Linked DNA regions of Mus musculus. The protein of the gene in region 1 purifies or fractionates together with the protein of each later gene. This does not show direct contact. Links are inferred from orthologs where the notes say so. Each region holds a gene or a part of one and is shown on either strand. Other genes may lie near its edges.

Region 1 (6,442 bases):
AAGAATATCAGGAATTCAAAGCTAGTCTTGATTATGGATTGCCTTTATTTATTCTTCCCCCGGCAGAGAGAGAGAGAGAGAGAGAGAGAGAGAGAGAGAGAGAGAGAGAGAGAGAGAGAGAAGTTGGGGAAAATCTTACTCCAGCATTTGGGAGGCTGAGGCAGGAGGACTGCTGCAAGTTCAAGCTAGCTGGAGCTACATAATGAGTACCAGGACAGCCAGGGATAATAAAGCGAAATCCTGATTCAATAAAACAAAATGTGTGTATTAGGAGTTGTATGAAGAGGGAATAGATTAGAAATGACTACCTCATGACATTAAAGATCATGCTTGTAATTTGTTTAACACAATACCTGCCCATAAGATCAATGAATACTGGCTATTATTATGTTCATTCTGTCTATGCATCTCTACTCTATTAAGCTTACGATCTTGTAGTTATACCAAAACTTTCATTCTTTGACCTACATTTTAAAAAATATTTTATTTTAAAATTGCATGTATATGTGTGTCTATATAGAGGTACGTGCAAGTGAGTGAGGGTGCCTGCAGAGGCTGAAAGGTGTTGGGCCACTGGAACCGGAGTTCTATGCAGTTTTGATCTGATATGGGTGCTAGGAACCCAACTGTCCTGTCCTGTGTAAAAGGAATACTCTCTTTCCCGTACCTCTGTTTTTTAAAGTCAGGGTCTTTCTCCTAGCGTCCTTGTAACTTGAGGCAATCCTTCTGTCTCAGCCTCCTGAGAACTAGGATTACAGGTGTGAGTCAGCACACACAGCTTTTCCTCAGTGTACTTTCTCTTTACTTGAAGAATAACTGAATCATGAGGCCTAAGAATCTAGTGTACTTTTTTTTTATCTATTAGGTACTCATTAATATTCACTGTACCTGTTGAATGAGAACATTAATTCCCTGTGCTATTATAGTAATGTAGGTCTATCATCTGACACACTGTTTCTCTGACATCTATCTTTATATTCTCTCTCTCTCTCCTCTTCTCTCCCCCCCCCCCGATGACATACTCTGATCAAAACCTTTCAAAAGCTCTCTACTCCATACAAGATAAAGTTCAAATCTCACACCCTGATATTTAAGGTCATCTACCATCGATGAACTTTTCTCATCATGAGAGATCACTGAGAGATGTGGCACACAGCAGGAATGAGGTCAGAGGACAGTCACTTGCAGATCCAATTCTGCTAGTTGGGTCCCAGGAATGGCCTTGAGGTTGTCAGGCTGATGGCAGTGTCTGGCCTGACCTGCTGAGCATCTCCCTGGCCCACTGTCTCTCACTACACACTTGGGTTGCCTCCACTTACTCCCCTCTCTTCAGTGCTAGTCCACTAATGGCAGAAGCCTTTCCTGACTGCTCCCTAGCTCACCCTGAGGCCTCCCTCTGAAACAGCAGCGCTTGACAGGCCTTTTTCTTGGCACCTCTAAAAGTTCTTACAGAGTCAAGTTCTTACTGACTGGGTGGCTATTTACTGGATCTAGCCCACTGCAGGTTCTCCTGTCTCTTCTCAACTGGGAACAATGAAGTAGTGATGAGTACACAGAAAGAAAAGCCATGCCTTCAGAGCTTCCCCCTTTTCCTTTGGACTCTGCTCCCTCCTGCTTAGCAATCCCCTCTCACACCTCTCACAGGAATTCTCATCTCTTCAAACTACAAAGTCTACTGTTCCTTTATTCTTAAGACAGGTTCCTTGCTTGCTTCCAGCCGTACTTTTTTCCTTTTAAATGCTTCCTCTTTGCAAGTCAGGGCCTCCATTAACACCCAACTCCTCTTCTAGCCAAGATCAGCATCTAAAGACTCTCCAGGCTGATAACAGGCTGCCACATTTCCAGGACTTCTCTGAGCCCCTGTTCAACCCCAGGGAGGCCTTTCCTTCCATTCACCATAGGGTCAGCCTGACCTTTTTCTGCGCAGCTTGGCACGGGGCCTCCACAATCTCCTCTGCTCACACAGGGCCTGAGGACTTCTTATCCATCTCTTCTCCCCCACCCCCACCTCCTGGAAGGCGCTTGGGCCTTCTCAGCAGTGCTGGCCACTCTAAGGCCTTACAACCTATTCTGGGGCAGCAATCCTGCAAACCCACCTCCTGGGGCTTAACAAAACCCTCACTCTCAGTTCTTAACGGACCAGGGCCTGCCTTCTGGCAAAGATGTCACCACCACCTTGGATAGTCCCGGTGGCACATCCCCTGCACACTCCAAGGCCAGGAGCCTCCTCTGATGTTACCCTCTCCTCCTCCACCTTCCGTCTGGCCCGACCTGTGATCTCATCCAACTTCAGCCTGACCCTACTCCACTAGCACCAATTCTGTCAGGCCCATGGCCTCCCTCCCTTGTCTCCCCTGAAGGCCCTAACTTTCTCTTTAACTCTCTACTCTCACTTTTCACGTCGTGGACCCTTTCCCCGCTTAAGTTGCCAGGCCGCTGGCCTGCGGTATCCTCCTCCAGCAGGGCCTCCTTGCCATCTGGTCGGGGAGCAGAAGGCCTTGGCTCACACCGGAGCGGAGCGGACTGTCTAGCCGGGTCCAGCCCCTCCGTACCGGCCGCTCTCACAACTAAGGCCTCGGCTCCCTCCTATTCGGCCCAAGGCCTCTTCCCCATGACGCGTCTCACCCGACTCTAGCTCCGCAGTCCGGGATACCCTGGCCCCTGCCCGGCCTGAGGCCTCTTCGGCCCTTCCCGCCGGCCGGTCTCCCGAGCCTGTCCGTGCTTACGGAGCGTCTCCCGGAGCCCTCCACTCACTTTCCTACCTTCTCCACCACCGCCCCGGTCCATCCAGAAGGCCACCGGCGCTACCTGCTCGGCGGGCAGACCCGCAGCTCAGTTTAGCAGCGAGGTCTGGGGCGTCGGTGCGCTCCCTTCAGCCCTCGCTCGGGCCGTCAAACAGGCCACGGCGCTCCCAGCCTTTTCGGCTTCTCCCCGCGACTCCGGTCCCTCGCTCGCTCTCCACTGGGCTGTCCCACCCCGCCCATCCGCGGGGCTCCCGGAGTCCAGGTACCGGTGGTGTGCCCGGCGGACAGCGGAGGCCCCGGGCCGGCAGCGCAGGTGGCTGCGGGCCTGGCCTCCTTGCCTCGGGTCGGGCCTGCCAAAGTCGGTCCCTGCCCCGGGGCAGCCCGGCCATCCCTGCCCCGTCGGTTCGAGATCCGAGAATCCTCCGTTCAGTCCGGTCCAGCCCAGTGTCAGTTCCGAGCCTGTGGCTCCGGCCTGCTACTCCAGCCCCCGTCGCTAGGGCCCTGGCAGCTCTGCCCCGTACCGGGCCTTCTGGCCTCGCCCCCCGCGCCCCCCAGGCGAGCCGCGGCTCGGCTTCACCGGCTCCCTCGGTCTCAGGCTTCACTCCGTCCCGCCCTGTCAGTCACGGAATTTCTGTTCCGACTCCACCATCGAACTCCCGGGGCTCCCAGCTGGGCCTGGCCCCGGGCCTCTCGGCCTCGCCCCCCGCGCCCCCTGGCCGCCGGGCCGCCCCCGCTCGCTGCCGGAGGTCGCCCCTCACTCCGCGACTTACCCCACACCCCGCTCTCCAGAACCCCCATATGGGCGCTCACTGCCCGCCCGCACAGCTCGAACAGGGCGGGGGGAGCGCTGGGGCCCGAGGCCGAGCTCTTCGCTGGCGCCGCCTCCCGGGACGTGGCCTCCATGGTCGTTGCTGCCGCTACCTCACAGAACCAGCAACTCCGGGCGCGCCAGGCCTCGGGCGCCGCCATCTTGGGGAGGTGCGCGAGCCCGAGAATGACACCCGCGGGCCGCCATCTTGAAGAGGTCAGCTTTTAGGACCGCTCCATAAGGGATATGGGGAAGAACAGAAACAACATTAAAAGATCGTCAAACAGAGGAGCAGATGACTCAAGTATCTTAGGGAATACTACTTGGAAAAATACTGTAGATCAACACATTTGGGCAAGAAGTGACCGAAAGGATGTTTCTTAGCAAATTCTTTGCAGGCGTATATAGCAGCTCCCCCTACGTCTCGTAGCTAGCGAGTAGTACAGCCCAATTTGTGCGTGTGTTCGGGACTACGAGGAGTATGCCGCACTTCCGGCCAGGTCGCCGGATATCCGTCGAGTGACCCTTACTAGTCCTTCTTAAACCTGAAGTGGAGTACTACTCTGGTTGCGCTTGTTGGATCCCAAACCGGCTCCCGACATGGGACTAGAGGACGAACGAAAGATGCTCACTGGATCTGGAGACCCCAAAGAGGTAAGGCTTCGAGGTTGGCGGGCCCGGGACCTAGCTCAACAAAGCACCTCCCGGGGCTCTCTTAGTCCGGGTTTATAGCCTAGGGTTTGCGGGGTCCAGAGAGGTGGTTTCCGTTACTTACCTTCAGAATTCTTTGGTTGACCTTGGGCAGATTAATAGCTAGTCTTTCTCGGGATTGGCTTCCCCAAACCAGGAATGTGAAAGTGTAACTGGAGTTTATAATGCTGCACTGATAAACTTGTGTAAACAAACAAACAACCCCCCCCCAGGTTTTTGAGGTTCTAATTTGATAAATGTTTTGAGGTTCTAACTTGATAAGTGCGTGAAGCAAAAAACTAACGTTAGTCTTTAACGTAGCTTAGGTCAGAATTTATTTATGGAGATTTCGGGGACCCTAGTCTTCGGAAAAGTGCTTTCAGGAGTTGGGGTGTAGCTTCATGGTAAAGCTCTTGCCTAGCATTAACAAGCCCTGTATTCGCTTCCCAGCATCTCCAACAAAAAGCGGTTCTTTATCTTTTGGGATGGAGATGGCCGAGGACTTGTGCCTTTGGGGACAGTTTAAGAATGTGTAGTGTAATTCTGTGGTGCAAGAGGGAGCTCTTTCCCAAGTTGAGCATCATTGTGATAAATATTGGCTGCTTATGTGCTGAGTGCTTTATATGCACTAAGATACTTAACTTGCACAGTTTCCCCATGAGGTAAATATCAGGTACATTATATATTTTTGTCACTTTTATTACATGAGGCAGCAAGCAAGGAAGTTTATCTTGAATGAGGGCACACAACTAGCAAGACAATACAACTGGGACTCCAATGCAGACGTCCAGGCTTGAGAGCCAGAGCTCTAGCCCGAGACTCACTTTGCTTCCATTTCCTGTGCATTTGTCTTGTCTACTTCAGGACAAGCCATCAGGGCTTAATGGATTAATTAGTTGGCAAATTATTTATCCCTTAATTTTTTCAAGTTTTCATTCTCAGAAAGTTTAACAGGATACCACAGCAGATAGAAGTTTTAAAATTAAGAAAGTTGGGCATGGTGGTCCGTGTCTTTAATCCCAACACTCAGGAGGCAATGGCAGGAGGATCTCTGTAAGTTCAGAGCCATCCTGGTCTTCATATCAAACTCCATGACAGCCAGGACTATAGAGATCCTTTCTCAAAAAAACAATAAACCAACAAATCAAATAATAAAATGAAGAAAGTTAAATTAATTTTGTGAAAGATCCATAATGAATGGAGATGAAATCTTTTTATTCAGTGTGACTTTGGATTTTCTCATTGGTGGAAACAGAATTAGACCTGTATTTGGATTTGTTTAGCATGGTGTTTTTAGCACATTAGTGTTGTTATAGTAATGCCAATTGGGAAATGACACAGTTGTCTTGCTTCTAGAATGCTAATTTCAGGTGTGTCCCCCCCCCCCCCCGATTTTATTTTTACTTTAAGTGTATATTTGTATTTTGCTTACATGTATACCTTTGCACCACTTGCAATGCCTGATGCCCTCTGAGACCATAAGAGGGCACTAGATCTTCTGGAACTGGAGTTAACGTTTGTGAGCAACCATGTAGGAGCTAGGAAGAGCCAGGGTTTTTTTGGAAGAGAGACAAGTGCTCTTAACTGCTGAGCCATCTTTTGTGAGCATGTATAGGTGTTGGTTTGTGCATGCTTCTGTCTGTAGGTCCTTTCACATGGGCTCCTGGGATCAAACTCGGGTTGTCGGGCTTGGTAGCAAGCAATTTTACCTGATGGTTTTAGGACTTGGACCCAGGGCCTCAGGTATTCTTTACCACTGAGCTCTGATGTCAGAGGATCTTTTTAGGGGGATACTTTTTCTTTGTGAATTTTAAAAAATAGTTTATTTTTATGCATACAATTGTTTTACCTACATATGTGGCTGGAAGATGGTGTTGGATCCCCTGGGACTGGAGGTAGAGATGGTCTTGAGGTGACATGTGGGTGTTAAGAGTCAAATCTAGTGGGGCTGGAGTGATGGCTCAGTGGTTGAGAACACTGGCTGTTCTTCAATTCTCAGCAAGCACATAGTGGCTCACAACCATCTATAATGCCCTCTTCTGTCTAATCTAATGATCTAATGCCTTGTTCTGTCTGACATGCAGGTATACATGCAGATAAACCACTCATATACTTAAATATAAATCTTTAAAAAAGAGAGTCAAAGCTGATTCTTTTGCAAGAACAGCAAGTTCTCTTAGCTACTGAGCCATCTCTCTAT
Region 2 (4,716 bases), on another chromosome or scaffold:
GTGTATCCCTGGCTGTCCTGGAACTCACTCTGTAGACCAGGCCGTCCTGGAACTCAGAAATCCGCCTGCCTCTGCTTCCCAAGTGCTGGGATTAAAGGTGTGCGCCACCATTGCCTGGCAAACAAAAACTTTCTAATGGTCAAAGCTGTTAAAATATGAGTATGTACAACACTGAATTATAACACATGAAAAAATATCCACAACCCAACATTTATATAAATTCTTGAATAAATGGGTGAAGGGCAGCTCTTCATTAGAAATCCAGTTAACACAAGTACTGAACAAAAGCACTGAGAGCTACAGTTAGGACAGAAAGGAGTAAAGAACATTTAAGGAACATGCTGGATTCTGAAACACATATATGAACATTGTAACAGTACAGAGCTTAAGCAGGTGGAGAGATGGCACAGCACTGAGAACTTGCTCTTTGAGAAGACATGGTTCCTTCAGTTTTCACCACTCAAAAGGTGGCTCACAATCATCTGTAACTCCATTTCCAGGGGGTCACAACACCCTCTTGTGACTCAAGTGGTACACAGGCACACATGTGAGAAAATACACACATAAATAAATCTAATAATAAAATTAAACCTTGAGAATTAGAATGCAGATCTTTTTCAAAGTATCTCTCCTGAAACATCTACTGACTTTGAAAAGGAAACACAGAAGCCCTGCAAATACCATCTTAATAAACTCACAGAAACTAACATCAAGCCAGATGTAGCTCCCACAACAGATGAAAAGGCAGAATCTCAAACTCAAGGCCAGTTGAGCTACATAGAAAGAATCTGTCTCAAAAACAGAAAGACAGGAGAACTTGAGTTCAGATCCCCAGAATCCACAGTGAAGCAAGAACAAAAGCTCTTGCAATAACCTCAGGGTGGTGGGGTGGGAATTCCCAGGGCTAGCAAAAACATGAGTTCTGAGCTGGGCAGTGGTGGCGCACGCCTTTAATCCCAGCACTCGGGAGGCAGAGGCAGGCGGATTTCTGAGTTCAAGGCCAGCCTGGTCTACAGAAAGAATTCCAGGACAGCCAGGACTACAAAGAGAAACCCTGTCTCGAAAAACAAACAAACAAAAAAAAAGCATGTGGTAGGGCTGGAGAGATGGCTCAGCGGTGAAGAGCACTGACTGCTCTTCCAGAGGTCCTGAGTTCAATTCCCAGCAACCACATGGTGGCTCACAACCATCTGTAATGAGATCTGATGCCCTCTTCTGGTGTGTCTGAAGACAGCTACATAAAAATAAAACTTTTTAAAAAAAAACAAAACGAAACAAAAAGCACATGATAGCCACATTGAATGTATTTTCACTTTTCTGGTTGTGCTGCCTAGTCTTAGGCCAACTGGACACAACCTAGAATTATCTGAAAGGAAGAAACCCCAGTCAAGGAAATGCCTCCAAAGATCCAACTGTAAGGCATTTTCTTAGTGACTGATGAAGGAGCTGGTCTGGTGGTCCTAGCTTCTAAGAAAGCAGGCTGGAAAGCTGGAGAGATGGCTCATCTGGCTACTCTAACCAACACCCACATGAAAGCTCACAACTGTCTATAACTCCTGTTCTAGGGGATCCAACTACCTCACGGACATACATGCAGCCAAAATGCCCATGTAAATAAAATTAAAATAATTTAAAATAAAAAAGCAACCAGGCTGAGCAAACCATGGAGAGTGAGCTAGTGAGCAGTACCCACCCATGACCTCCTTCAGTGATGGGCTACAATGTGGAAGTGTAAACCTAGTAAATGCTTTTCCTCTCCAACTGGTTATGGTGTTCCATCCAAGCAACAGAAACTATGATATGACACACACTAACGTCAAGACACTGCCAACCCAAGTGTAGTGTCAGCACACCTCTAACTCTAGTACTTCACAGGCTGCAGCAAGGACAAACCTGGGAGTTCAAGGCTAACCTTTACTATATAATAAGACCTTTTCTTGGGCTGGAGAAATAGCTCAGCAGTTAAAGAACACTGGCTGTTCTTCCAGGGGATCTTACAGCTTCACACAGATATAACTTCAGGCAAAACACCAATGAACATAAAATAAAGATAAATAATAGAATTTTTTTAAAAGACCTTTTCTTAAAAAAGACTCAATTCTGCAAGTCATTTTGTGCATATAAAGCCCCGTCTCAGATGATCTTCCCTCAATGTCAGATCAAAAAGCAGACCCTTTTTTTCATATATTTTCATGGGTCCTATTTCACTCTAATAACTTTCTTGTTAAGTGTAGTAACTTTTTTTTTTCCCACAGGGTTTCTCTGTGTAGCTCTGGCTATCCTGGAACTCACTCTGTAGACCAGGCTGACCTCGAACTCAGAAATCCGCCTGCCTCTGCCTCCCAAGTGCTGGGATTAAAGGCGTGCGCCACCACACCTGGCAAGTATAGTAACTCTTAAAGAGATGAAGGGCCTACTAAATAAAAAGACAGTCCCGACATACTGTGGGCTATTAATAAAGCACTTCCTAAATGAATGAAAACAATGGGTTTCTTCCCTTTCTTGGCCTGAAAAATGTTACTCACCTGGATCTTGGCACCTTTATATCTGATGACACCAGGCACTGTGGTCAATGTAGTGAATTCATAGGCTGCCACTTCAGAATACACTCCTGCTAAGTTACTTAGCAGAGTTGATTTCCCCACAGATGGAAAACCCACAAACCCAATTCGAGCATCACCTGTCTTGGCCACATCAAAACCTATAAAACAGTAAGAAACATCAAAAACACAAATGTTATCCTTGGGTATAGTACACTTCACCTAATTCTTTTCATATTGTTGTTGGTCTGGTTTTCTAACTTCTAAAATACAGCTCAAGCATGAAATTCACAATTCAATAGTAATGCAGTACTAAAACAAAGAAATCCTTTATCACTTTATTTATAACAATTTTGCATAATATTTAAGGCCCAAAGATTACAAAAGAATTCATCTGCCAGGCAGTGGCAACATATGCCTTTGCCCCAGCACTCAGGAGACAGAGGCAGATGGATCTCAGAACAGCCAGGGATACAGAGAAACCAATCTCAAAAAAAAAAAAAAAAAAAAAGAAAGAAGAGAAAAGGAAAGAGAAGTAAGGAGGAGAAAGAGGAGGGGCTGAAGGTTATGAGGCATAGTAGAGCAAGCCTGTAGTCACAGCACTTGGAAGGTAAAAAGCAGAGGAAGCAGAAATTTAGGGGCCAGCTTGGACTAAGATCCTTTCTCAAAAACATAAAACCCTGGGGCTGGAGCACTGATTGCTCTTGCAGAGGACGAGACTCAATCCCTAGCACTCACATCACAGCTAGCAAGCTTCTCTAACTGCAGTCTCAGGGTCCCTGAGGGATACAGTATGCTCTTCTGGCCTCCAGGGGTGCTTCATAGGTGATACAAAGATACACACAGGCAAAACACATACACAAAATAGCATAGGGGTTGGAGATGGCTCTTCACAAAGCATGCATGCTTATTTCTTAGCATGCGCAGCTACACATGCAGTTCCAAGGGATTTTACTCCTTCTGGGCTCTGAAAGCACTGGTGCACATACAATTAGTAACCACATATTCACACATTTATTTTATTTTGTTTTGTTTTGTTTTGTTTTAATTATTTCTTTTGAGTTAGGGTAGCTATGTAGCTCTGGCTGTCCTGCCCCCTACATGCTGGGATCAAAGGCATATACCACTATCCCTGGCCCACACATAAATTTAAAATATTAACAATATCAAAAAAATAAAGCCAGAATTAGAGGTATACACCTTTAATCCCAGCATTCTGTAGGCAGAGGCAGATGGCACTGTGAGAGTTTAAGGTCAGCCTAGTCTATACAGTGAGAGTGTCTCAAACAAAACAGAACCACAAAAAACAAGATACAGATTTGAGGCTCTGTGTTTATCTCTGGTTTGGATTTTATCCGATCCCTGGGAATGGTGTGACCAGATTTTTTGAAATGGGATATACTTACATAGCCTAGGCTAGTTTGGAAGACTGGAATTTGCAATCCGCCAGCCTCATTCCGGAGTACTGTATGTGCATAGCTTTTGAGATTGTGTGTTTGAGTGGGCATGCATAAACTGGAAGTTGATATCAGGCTTCTTCCTCTACCCTCTAGTTCTCACTACCAGCCACCACCACCCAACTCAAAACATTAATTACACCTAATGTGGTGGCGCACGCCTTTAATCCCAGCACTTAGGAGGCAGAGGCAGGCAGATCTGAGTTGGAGGCTAGCCTGGTCTACAGAGTGAGTTCCAGGACAGCCAGGGCTACACAGAGAAACACTGTCTCAAAAGACAAAAACAAAAACAAAAAATTGGGCTAGGAGATGGCTCAGTAATCAGTGTGCCTGCCACACAACATGAGGACCTAATTGTGGATTCCCAACACCCACAGGTAAAAAAAGCCCTGTAGCAGCAGCACACACCCGTGATCCCATTGCTGCATTATAGGCAGGTCTCCAGAGACTGATGGATCGCCAGTCTAGTTGAACTGATGAGTTTCAGGATAAGTAAGACCCTATCTCAATTTAAAAAAAAAAAAAAGGACTGGTCTTCCTATGCACATAAACACACAGAAATGCATTCTTGGAAGCCAGACACAGTGGTGTGCACTTTTAAGCCCAGCACTTGGGGAGCAAATGGACTCTGTGGAGTTCACTGCTAGCCTAGACTTTATAGTTAAGTTCCAGGATAAGAAGTACACAAACAAAAAAAAAATTGTCTATGGGCATATGAA
Region 3 (4,716 bases), on another chromosome or scaffold:
CAGGCTTTTAAAACCTCTTAATGTATTGCAAACTGATAGTTATTTTAATTTTAGAAAAAAGTCTCTTAATGGGACTGCTTCTTTTGTTCTACTTTTATAGTTTTTATTTAATATCATTCAAAATTCTGGTGCCAGTTTGAAGCACAAAAAAGATTAAGTTTTCATGGTCCTATAATCTTTACATTCCTGGATGGACAGACTTACCTTTTTTTCTATATATTTTTGATATAAAACCCTATTGGTAATCTGATAAAAGCCTGGTATCATTGGACAAGATGACTCATCAGGTAACAGAAACCTGGTGATCTGATTTGATCCCAGGAAGCCACTTAGAGATGTTCCAGGGCAGCCAGGGCTGCACAGAGAAGCAAAGCCTGCCTCAGACATACCAACCAACCAACCAAAGATGGAGAGAGCTGACCTTAGAGAGCTGTCTTCTGACTTCCACATGCGTGCTATGGCATGTACTTATAAACATGTAATATATAGTTATGCACAAAAAAAACTTAAATAAAAACCCTTGTAGCTGGATGCACCATAAATTATCTAGCCGGGCAGTTCTAGCACACGCCTTTAATCCCAGCACTTGGGAGGCAGAGGCAGGAGGATTTCTGAGTTTGAGGCCAGCCTGGTCTACAGAGTGAGTTCCAGGACACCAGGGCTATACAGAGAAACCCTGTCTTAAAAACCAAAATCATCATCATCACCATCAGTCATCAGTATCAATGAAAGACTGTCTTGCCTGTACAGGAAGTTGAAGGGTTTATCCTGCTGGACGCTAGCTTCCCGAGCCGATTTGTATGATTACAATCAGGTGTTAAATACAGCGTCCACAGCAAATTAGTTCAAGGATTTCCTGCAGGTCCCAGAATTTCTTGTATAAAGCATTCACCCTACAGGTTTTATACTATATATTTAAATAATCTTTAGGTCACCATAGCACCTAATAGAGTATAAATGCTTTGTGACTAGTCACCATACTGTGTTGTTTAGGAGGCAATGTTTAAGTTTGTGTGTTTAATACACATGCAACTATCATAGGTCTGATTATATTTTTGTGGTTGGTTGTTTGGTTGTTATTTGTTTTGTTTTGGTTGATTGGTTTCCTTCTTGAGACAGAGTTTCTCTGTGTAGCCCCGGTTGTCCTAGAAATCACTTTATGGACCAGACTGACTCAGAGGTCTGACTAGGATTAAAGGCAAGGACCACCATACTCAGCTCACAATTCTCTTGTTCATTCAGTCTGTGGGTATGGAGCTCATAGAACCAACTGTTTCTCTTTTGCATTTACTTTACTAGTCTTTACTAAGGCACCTTGTTGCTTTTAGTTGCCTAAGAAAAGCTAAAATTTAATGATGATTACAGTAGGTGTACTTTGCAGGTAATGTCATTGCCAACTTGTATGTAGTTTAAAAATCACCAAGAACATAATCGGTAAAATTGACTTAGGCGAAACTTGTTGATTTCTTTAGAAACATTTAATTGTCAAAAAATGAATTAAAAACAGGATCTGTGGTAAATTTTGCTATCACTTTATCAGTCTAGTTAATATGTAGTGTTTACTGATTTTTAAGAGTAGATACCCATGGTTCTCTTCTGTTATACAAAGATGCACCTTAATATTAGAGGCAAATTTGTGTAAGTGGAGTCTTATGTCTTAGTATTATCTATGTATTTGTATGTGTGTGGCCATATGTGTATGTGTAGGTCAGAGCACAACTCTTTAAGAATTGATACTATTTTTCCACCATTGGGTCCTAGTGCTGCACTCAGGTCATCGTGCTTGTTAGCGGACAGCGCCTTTACCGTCTGCTCGCTCGCTCGCTCGCTGGCTGCCATAGCAGTACTCACCTGTTTGCCCACAGTATCTAGAACTCCAGCTCCAGGGCATCCAGGGCTTTTTTTCCCAGCCTTTTCAGGCACCAGACTTGAATGTGATAAAGTCATACAAGGAGACAAACATTCAAGTGCATTATTAATTTTAATAAAACAATAGAGAGAGTATAGGTTAATTTTGGCTTCCTTTACTTTCAAAATCTTTGTGATAGTGTAATGGAGAAAAACTGTAGCTGCTGAGTGAGTCTCCAAATGATGACCTGGGGCTGCTGGGCAGTGTGGGTGCTGTTAGAAGATAACATAGGAAAAGTTACTGGTTTGCTTTGCTCAAATTAATTGAATGTATTAATGTACTTTCATTTTCATTTTTCTCTTAGGAAGCCATCATACAAATAATGAAAATGAGAAAGAAAATTAGCAATGCCCAGCTGCAGACTGAATTAGTAGAAATTCTGAAAAACATGTTCCTGCCTCAGAAGAAGATGATAAAGGAGCAGATGGAGTGGCTGATTGAACACAGGTACATCCGGAGGGACGAGGCCGACATCAACACCTTCATCTACATGGCCTAGCCGGGCCGCTGCTGCCGCACACACGCCCCTGAAGGCCTGGGCAGAGGCTGTCCCAGCCCCAGCTGGAGGAAGCTTTATTTGGACTTTGATTACATAAATATTAAACTCTGCCTTACCTTACAAAACGACTCTATTTTGCCAGTCACATTAGTTAGCATGATGGCATTCCCTTCATGTTGCACACTCTTTAACAGCATGCTGTTTTGTGGAGAAAATTGCATTCATGAAGAGCCCATTGTGAACTTTCAAAGTCAATTCAATTTTTACCCACCTAGAGAAATAACATGTCGGAAGGGTGAGGGTGGGGTTCTTTTTGCTTCTTTTATCCCCTTTTCTTCTTCAAAGAAATATACTTGCACAAGGAAGGATTTTCAGATATTCATGCACTGAAAAATGCTGGGGATTTTTGTTTGTTTGTTTGGGTTTTTTAAATTCTTTTTTTTTTTTTTTTTTTATGAAATTAAAGCTAGACGTAGCACTAAGCTACTTCTGATGCAAAGAATGAATCGTCAACACTGTGCTGGGCAAGGGCAGGCACACTTGAGAAGACACGTGTGCCAGTGTCAAGTTGTTTGTCAAACACTGCTTTCACTTTAGTGACTGGATCTTAATGGTAACCTGAAATGGTATTAAATATTTCTACCTTATAAATCCTGATTTTCAATGAGCAGGAGAGTTCTGTTTAGTTATTTGTTGTTAAATGATAAAGATTTGGGATTTTTCTTTTAAACCTTGTACGGCTGGAGAGCTTGTTTTGAAAACATGAAGTTTATAATGAATGTTGCTTCAGTTAAAAAATGTGTGGGTATACGTACATTATTGATTGCATAATCAGAATCTTGAAGCAAAAATTAAGTGTGTTACTAATACACTCAATTCTCATACGTCTAATATTTATTATACTGTACCTGAATTTGTTGAAAACAATGCAGAAATATTCTGATGCAGTGCAGTGAGAGAATTGCTTTCTTAACCTGTAGCATAGAATTATTTGGTGATTGAAAGTGTTGTGATTAGGGATTTACCACCTCAGTTTTCTGGAAAGACATTCTCTATTTAAAAGTAATAATTACCTGCCACTTAGCAGGAAGAAAGGTGAGATTACAACCTGCAACCTGAAAAGCACTCAAAGTTGTTAGTCTTAACATGAGCAGTAACCTTGCCAAATATGTACATATATTTATATATTTTAAAAATAAACATTTTTAAAATGTTCAGAGGGCAACACCTACCTTGCTCCTCTCAGTGATCCAGAGCAGTGACTCAGGACTTTACAGAGCAGTGGAAACTTAGAGATTGAGGACTCAAGCAACTGAAGAGAATTATTCCCCAGCAGGAAAAATGGCTCCCTGTGGATTTTACTCATTGTGGTGCACGTTTCGAGTTTTCTTGCAAATTTTAGAACTTTTGATGTTAAGTAGTATTTTGAAGTATTGGTTCTGAAGCTAGCAGAAGATGGAGTGTTGAGAAGCATACAGTATTATCTATCCTATTACCACAGAGGGCTGTGGATCTGCCCTGCTGCTCAGCAGCTGGGGTCTCCTTGCTGGAAAGAAGTAAAGTATATGTTAGATGTTTAAGGCTTTGATAATTATAGTCATATATCTGTTGTGAAACTCATAGGAAGTTGGAAGTGCATGTGTGCTTGCTGTGCCCTGCAGCTCTGAGGTGATGGCTAAAGCAGGTGTGCAGCGCAAACTCAGTCCCTGCTGCTCTACCACGTGGAGGATGGAACATCCGGAATTTAGAGGGATAGTTTTATCATGACTGTTCAATAGCTTGGTGTTGGCAAATTTTCCTGTCCCAATACCAGAATGCCAAAGGAGGAAACAATCAAGGGAAAAATTTTAGGCCATTTAAAATGACAAAAAAGATTTGTCATTTTAAACCATCATTTTCTTTAGAACATCTTTGAAATTTCTAATCGCTTTGGTCATTTAAGAATGAGAGCTGTGATGTTTTGATTTATAAAGGCAAACTTAATGCAAAGTGGGTAACACTAAATCCATAGCAAAGTTTTTTATTAAATTTTTATAAATTTTTTAATAGTTAATTATGTCCTAATTGTATTTTGGGGAATGAGCAGCAGTAAATACCACAGACTTAACAGTTTCATCCTTTTTTAAAAATATATATATAAGAGTGTAACTACTTTTTGGTGTTTATCAAAACTATTTAGTTGACAAGGTGCCTATACCATTGTTGGGATTTTCTTTAAATGTTTTATGAATAGATTTGATAATTTATCTGAAGATCCAGAACCACTGACAGCGCCCCTCTCTCTCCCTGCAGACTTCATAGTCTTGCT

The links. Proteins that work in one complex are often made in the same cells at the same time.
Region 2: the proteins of Lrrc41 (region 1) and Drg1 purify together in Homo sapiens (affinity purification with mass spectrometry; 3 studies listed by BioGRID and IntAct, counting the BioPlex papers as one, with this or other methods). This does not show direct contact. The link is inferred for Mus musculus from reciprocal best matches to the Homo sapiens genes LRRC41 and DRG1.
Region 3: the proteins of Lrrc41 (region 1) and Cul5 purify together in Homo sapiens (affinity purification with mass spectrometry; 3 studies listed by BioGRID and IntAct, counting the BioPlex papers as one, with this or other methods). This does not show direct contact. The link is inferred for Mus musculus from reciprocal best matches to the Homo sapiens genes LRRC41 and CUL5.

Annotation. Positions count from the first base shown.
Region 1 is NC_000070.6:116,072,680-116,079,121, reverse strand, and holds the start of Lrrc41 (leucine-rich repeat-containing protein 41), read right to left. Parts: upstream 3,854-6,442; 5' UTR 3,714-3,853; coding exon 3,515-3,713; intron 3,450-3,514; exon of another isoform or gene 2,788-3,449; coding exon of another isoform or gene 2,763-2,787; intron 1-2,762. Other genes in the region: Uqcrh (cytochrome b-c1 complex subunit 6, mitochondrial), read left to right, coding at 4,153-4,206. UniProt on the Homo sapiens protein: Probable substrate recognition component of an ECS (Elongin BC-CUL2/5-SOCS-box protein) E3 ubiquitin ligase complex which mediates the ubiquitination and subsequent proteasomal degradation of target proteins.
Region 2 is NC_000077.6:3,259,964-3,264,679, forward strand, and holds part of Drg1 (developmentally-regulated GTP-binding protein 1), read right to left. Parts: intron 2,702-4,716; coding exon 2,526-2,701; intron 1-2,525. UniProt on the Homo sapiens protein: Catalyzes the conversion of GTP to GDP through hydrolysis of the gamma-phosphate bond in GTP. Appears to have an intrinsic GTPase activity that is stimulated by ZC3H15/DFRP1 binding likely by increasing the affinity for the potassium ions.
Region 3 is NC_000075.6:53,615,508-53,620,223, reverse strand, and holds part of Cul5 (cullin-5), read left to right. Parts: intron 1-2,213; coding exon 2,214-2,408; 3' UTR 2,409-4,716. UniProt on the Homo sapiens protein: Core component of multiple cullin-5-RING E3 ubiquitin-protein ligase complexes (ECS complexes, also named CRL5 complexes), which mediate the ubiquitination and subsequent proteasomal degradation of target proteins.